Linked DNA regions of Oryzias latipes. The protein of the gene in region 2 interacts with the protein of the main gene of each other region in a pairwise test. Links are inferred from orthologs where the notes say so. Each region holds a gene or a part of one and is shown on either strand. Other genes may lie near its edges.

Region 1 (2,637 bases), on a different chromosome or scaffold from region 2:
CAAAGGCAACTCCAAATACCTGAATCTCAGACTCAAATGGAGTATAAGGTCAAACTACTTAATTTTGTTTTTCTTTACAACACTGTAAGCAGTAAGTATTTCTAGTTAGCTGAATGATCTCAGTAATTTAATTGTATTTAATTTTTCAATTATTTAATTTAATTAGGTAACTAAAGTAACTAAAAAGTAAATGTAACTTTGCAACAGTAACAAAAAGCAGAACCTTAAGGCAGTCAGGGCAAAAGAGTCAATAAAACTTCTTAACTATTGATTAGGAACAAATGTGAAATAGCAGTGATTAGAAGCAGCATGAAAACTTTTTAACTAGTGTTAACTACTACACTGCAGGGCTCCCTTCAAAACATCTGAAACAGACTAGAGCAGATTTAAGTTTGATATGCTCTATTTTTAGTCATTGAAAAGTGTATAAATAAGTGCTAGATGTCACCAGAATGCACCAAATTGCACCATATTAAAATTTTCCGGGGGGGGGGGGGGCATGCCCCCGGACCCCCCTAAAGTTGCAAGCACCTGCGGAGCGGCGGGTCTCGCTGTGCGCGGTGTCGGGCCAGTAACTTTCAAAAACTACTGGCCCTGTGGGCCAGTGCAAATTTCTGGGCTATGTCAACCCCTGCAAATGTGCAAAAAAAACTCATGGCAGCCTGAAATAGTGAACAAATGCAATTAATCCCTTTATGCATTTAACCAATCGGAAGGACCCGTTTACCTTGTTGATCAATCAGATGGAGCCCTTTTATGTTTGATGTTTGCCTCCTACGTCGACAAGGGTCATTTGGAGTATAATTTTTAAACCTTTGCAGTGAAATGTAAATGATGTTTTTGGTTGTTTGGCTATTTGTTTATATACAGCAAATTATATCGTTATCGCGATATTAATCACCAATATCGCATATCGCGAGTTTTCCTCATATCGTGCAGCCCTAACAGTCACTAATAATCAACCAATTTTGGTTCTGCAATCACAAAGCTTTTACTGGGCATTAAGGAGACCAAAAAAAATGTTTTTTTATCTTTAGAATCAAATTTTTGAAATGTGGTTTTGAGCTTCTATTCCCCCCCCCACACACATTCAGAGAAAAACTGTGATTTGGTTTGCTTTGTTTTAGAAGTTATGCTTCCATTTGGTGCTGATGCATTTTTTTAATTTTTTTATAGACAAAATACACTCTAATTGATGAGCAGGACATACCACTGGTGGAAAACTATGCCTTTGAGGTAAAACCTTTTGATTTTTTTCAGCTGTAACTGCAGTGTTTTTGCCATTTTCCATGCTACAACTGCAGCTGGTTCCATTTTCAGGCACGCATGGAGGTAGATGCAGATGGCAACGGGGCTAAAATCTTTGCTTATGCTTTTGATATCGGCAAAGGACGGTGGGCAGGCAGACCGCTGCATGAGCTGCTGTGGTGAGTACCTTTAGGTGGAATTGATCCTTTTAGGATAAATGTATGCCAATCCAAGCATATATGTAAAACACTAAATGTACATCAGATGCTCTACCTTATCACCATGGAATTATGCAATATTTTAAATTCCCAAATTCCCTAAAAATGACAAGATCATTTGCGAAGGCCTCATTGCTTTGGAAGTGTCATTTCGTTACATTGTAGAAGGATTTTCAAGGCTGCAACACACATCAACAAGTTCTCTGATCAGAACCGGGAATGCCAGTCAGACCACTATGCCTCACCAGATGAATTTTTGGGGAAATTATTCCAACCAGTACAACTTGATGCTCCATCGCTCTTTAACTCCCATTTGACCCTTTCAGGATTTTCCTGATTGGATTAAGTGAGGTTGGCCTCCACTGTTTCCTTGGCATAAGTAGAGTCAGCTCGGGTTCCACCTGTGTATATATTATCAGAATACACTGAAATCTGAATAAAAAATGTTTTAAAAAATTACTCCCCCAGAGATTAAGTTTAGTGTCATTACTTAAAAAATATCATCTTAAAACCTACAATTCTAGTTGTCCTGTTTACAACATGGAATATTAGATGTACGGTAATCTGTTTGTTTTTTTGTCACGTTGGTAACTGTTGTCTATACTCAGGGAGAAGCACAGAGGAGGCATTGCTCCTAGTTTCCAAGTCATCCACATTAATTCTGTGACGGTGGACAACCGACTAGATAACCTACGGCTGGTACCGGTGGGCTGGAGCCCCAAGCCAGAGGAGATTTCAAGCAAGCAGAGGTAGGAAAAAGATTGAGCTGTTTCACAAAGTACCCTTTCTCTTGCTAAAGGCGACTGTCCCTACACAACACTACAGTTCCTCCTCTCTGAGAAGCTCAAGTCACTGATTTTTTTTTTCTTTTTCAATTTTGATCTTTGAGATTTACGCCTTGTGTTTTTTTTGTTCCCGTCCAGAGAGCAGTCTCTGTACTGGCTGGCCATCCAGCAGGTCCCCGCGGACCCTGTGGAAGAGCAGTACCTGGAGCTGAGTCGCACACGCTACTACAATGCTAACGGGGAGCTGGTGGAGGAGGAGGAGTGCTCCTGTACCTATTACGAGTGCCATTACCCTCCTTGTTCACTCATCGAGAGGAGGGTAGGTCTTTTTTAACCTGAGTTATTACAACATGGAAAGTGTCAGAGGGTAATGAATGATCTTTTGT
Region 2 (3,988 bases):
ACAGGAAATCTCTTTGTCAAAAATAACCTCTTTTTGACAAAAAGAAGAAATCTTCTTCAAGTTGTAAATTCCAGACAATCAACTGGAGCAAAAGTTGAAAAGATACTTGACTTTTAGTCTGTTCACTGATGGACGTATCAATCAGAAACACCTAAATTAATGATGGATTGGTGACTTGCCCAAAGTTTACAGGGATAATCGCCAGATAGATTCATTCTCTCCACATCCGAATTTGAACTAATATTTCTACAAAAAATAAACCTACTCATAATTAGAAGGAGTAACTCATTTAAGTATAAGAAATATCCTAAGGCTGAAACTGTCAAAAAGAAATCTTCTCATTTGGTGAGTTTAGAACAACTTTTTCTGTATCGTCCTGCTACAACACTGATTTGATAGGGCAAGTTATTTCTTCTTTAAGTGAAAACCAACAGAAAAGCTTCTAATATTGAAAAGTATGTGGGAATATGATCCTATAATGACAAGTGAAGATATGTAGTTTAGCAGCACATTTTTGCAGAGAACCTTTTTTTTTGTTTGTTGCTTTTAGAGTTTGCAAGTTTGAGTGAAACCACAGAGGCTGGAGTTTAATTCTAGATCTGAACCAGGCTTCTGAACCTCCTGGGGGGGCATGTGACTCACATCCTCTATAAAGTATGAAAGCTAATTTCTAAATTTTGTTTTTCTGTGTTTGTGTGCTGCATTGTTTTTTGGATGCTGTGTTTTCCACCGGAGCCTCTGCATCCTCACCTCGCATGTTTTAGGGTGGAGGTGTATGCGCACTTTCTGGCCACCTGCCGGGCCAGAGAAAAGAGCTCCACCCGCCTCAGCAGAAGTGCATTGTCCCGCATGCAGAACTGGGCTGCAGCTTCATTGATGATCAGCTGCAAAGGGGAAAACACTGACTGAAACAGGAACGGACACCATGAAGATAAAAACTATTTATCATGATTTGATGGTCAATTTAGGGTAGAAATTGCATTCTGGTCGTCTCGACTTCAAGCTTTTACCTCATGATGTGTGAGCTGCTTGCCTTCTCTCCTCTTGGAGTCAAAGCGTCCATAAATAAGACTGTATTTTCGGATCTCCTCTTCTTTGTTTGCGTTCAGGGGCCCCATGCTGAAAATGTGGCCCACGGTCTTTGACATTTTCTTGTTCATCCTCAGCAGAGTCTTCACCTCCGCAGAATCCGACCGGGGCAGGGTCCTGAAGAGCCGGTCAACACTCTCTGCCACCGCCCTCACCGTCTCCGCGTCCAGCTGTCCTCCGGGCCACGCCGACAGACCTGTTGGTGTAAAAGATGGCCCTGGAGATACGGAGGGGCCAGGAGGGCATGTTGACAGCATGGGCGGGCTGAGCGGCTCCTCTTCTACTTCGGAGGTTGACGCCAGAGCACCGTTAGCGTCCGGCTCGGTGCTGAGCCAGTGCGGGTCCAAGGGGGACAGCTTTTCTCTGTAGTGTGTCTCAGGAGGTTGTGGGGAAGCCTGGGAGCAGGGGCTCCTCGGACTGCCACTGTGCATCGGGGTAAGACACGCCCGGTCTTCTCTGTCACAGGGGGACTCTGGCTGCCCGTTACTCAAAGACTTCCTGGGCTCACCGCTTATCCCCATCCCGTCCACCTTAAACAGTGGGATGCCCGCCAGAGGAACATTGGCAACTGGCTGGCTGAAAAGGGCTGGGTTGGCCGCCCAGTCTCGAAGAGCCTTCTGCAGCCTACGCACATGCAGTGGCTTGGTGGCCATGCCAACTAATGCCATGATTTCCAGAAACTCTTCCTCCGCAGCCTCGCAGAGCTGCTGCACGTCGTCACCGCCCTGCTGGATGAAGGTCTCATAGTAGGCCAGCAGGTTGGCCCTCTGCAGCACCCGGTAGAGTTGCAACTCCCCAAGTGTGCGTGGCAAAGACATGGCACACCGCTGGAGAGCCTATAGGCGCGGGAAACATGAAGGTGAACTGAGAAATCCTCCACAAGAAAGTAGTTCTTATAACTGCTTATTACAAATAAAAATCCATAATGATGAAAGTTAAATAACAGTCATTTATTCAGTTTGTTCATGCATGTATTTAACAAAAATTAAACAATGTAAAGAAACAAAAATGATGTGGAAAACACCAATGCAGGAAGTTTTTCTTACCTTTTTTTGTTGTTTTTTTATTCAATGAAGTTGTGAATAAACACAGAGCAGTCCTTCCAGGTGAGTCTGACAAATAAAACATGACATCGATTAGAAAATAACTTTAACAGAAACCCCTGTGGCTTCCCCTGCTCTGACTAAAACCAAGACCGGAAACAGCTGCTCCACATCCAGATGTTTAGGACCTTCTTCTCCGCCTCCCATCCCGCTGATCCTGACCCGGTTCGGTTCTCTTACCTCTCTCCGTCCTTGTCCGCGGCTCGGATTGTCGTAGTAAATCCCTTTCGCCGGAATCGCTGGCAGAAATCCTCCTCCGGCGCAACGTATTGGTTGCTGGCTGCCTTTTGCTGTCTGTGTGGGCTGGAGAATGACGGGGGCGGACTGCAGCACGCCATCTGACCGAAAAAGAGCCTTCCTCTCCCGGTAGAGAGGCGGCTTTCAAATGGAAGGTGTGGGTGGTGGTGGTGGGGGCTTAAAATGAACCCTGTGCGTCTTTGGCTGGATGGAGCTTTGGGGGATTCCCGGGTTTGGTCGCGTCAAAGACCCCAAACAACGGTTGTGATGTGTTGGACTCCAGCAGAAATCCCTGCAGTCTATTAATTCACCAGAAAGGTTTTTGACAAACTAGTGTTGATGGATCAAAGACAGCTAAATGTGTACGTTTTTAAGAGTTTAATTTGTTAAAGTGATAAAAAACAAAAAACACTCCAAAAACAATATGTGTTTGTGAGGTTTTCCATCATTACTGACTGTCTGGTGAGGTTGTGATGCAACAATCCCTGCAACGCAGTAACCAAATATGTCACGTGACTTTTTAAATTAAAATGTTATTGTTTTTTGTTTTACCTGCAAGCCAATGTTTTTAAAAAAGCAGACTGAAAGACAAATTCTGTGTTTGCAGAATTCCTACCTACAACAACAAAATGGGGGGAAGTTATGGGTTAGATAAGCTCTAATGACTTGATATCTCATAAAACAACAAGAATGCTCTAACTGAAGTCCAACTGAAGAGGTGAATTTATTAAGGCCCAGTGGCCATTCGAGAGAATTTGATCCAGCAAAGTTTTGAAAAACCAGCATAAGAATAATTGATCAGAGTCAGATCTAAGGATTTGATAATCTGGATAACTTTAAACCTCTTTCAAAGTTTTGAAGTACCGGTCAAAAAAGTATTAAATGTAAAAAAAATCAATCCCTTTTTTTTTAATTACCAAATTACCATATGACCATTAAATTACCATGTTAAAATAGAATTTTGAGAAATTTTTAATTTCTAAGAAATTAGATTGGCTAAATTGTTATGAGCTCTTTAAGGTTAGTCAATCAAAATCCTTTATATTATTTTCTTCTTTTTTTTTACTGCAAGATAATAGTTTTTAAAAACAAGTCATTGATTCATAAAGAAACACTCAGGGTCCACAGATTTTACCCATGACAGACAAATTTGGTGAATTAGATCAAGTAAAAAGTACGATTTCTCATAGAGCTATTTCTATTTTGATCCAAACAAATTAAATAATTTAATAAAGTGTTGACTAAATAAACAAACAACCATGTAAATAAAACCTTTTATGCAGTTGAATGGATTTTATCAGATAAAACACTGGGCCAATCATAAAATCTTAATGTTTTTAAATAAAGCTTTGTCTCTCGGATTATTAACTTTTTGTCTCTTAGAGATGAATCCTTTAATAATGTGAGCTGACAAAATCTTTAAAGACATTTTATAATTTATATCATGCATTTTGTGACTTATTCAACTTTTACTTAAACTTTAAAAACTGTCATAAATAATTTATAAAAATGCACATTGTAGATGGTAGCTATTCACAAAAGCAAATCACGTTTTTGTT

What was found. The genes of interacting proteins can lie anywhere in the genome.
Region 1: the proteins of NGFI-A-binding protein 2 (region 2) and zmynd19 interact in binary tests that used the Homo sapiens proteins (3 or more experiments, as listed by UniProt). The two-hybrid records come from large-scale screens. The link is inferred for Oryzias latipes from reciprocal best matches to the Homo sapiens genes NAB2 and ZMYND19.

Annotation. Positions count from the first base shown.
Region 1 is NC_019870.2:12,313,469-12,316,105, forward strand, and holds part of zmynd19 (zinc finger MYND domain-containing protein 19), read left to right. Parts: intron 1-1,176; coding exon 1,177-1,236; intron 1,237-1,320; coding exon 1,321-1,427; intron 1,428-2,074; coding exon 2,075-2,215; intron 2,216-2,389; coding exon 2,390-2,570; intron 2,571-2,637. UniProt on the Homo sapiens protein: May be involved as a regulatory molecule in GPR24/MCH-R1 signaling.
Region 2 is NC_019863.2:27,736,971-27,740,958, forward strand, and holds the start of NGFI-A-binding protein 2, read right to left. Parts: upstream 2,807-3,988; 5' UTR 2,373-2,806; intron 2,202-2,372; 5' UTR 2,136-2,201; intron 1,926-2,135; 5' UTR 1,908-1,925; coding exon 1,011-1,907; intron 906-1,010; coding exon 751-905; intron 1-750. UniProt on the Homo sapiens protein: Acts as a transcriptional repressor for zinc finger transcription factors EGR1 and EGR2. Isoform 2 lacks repression ability.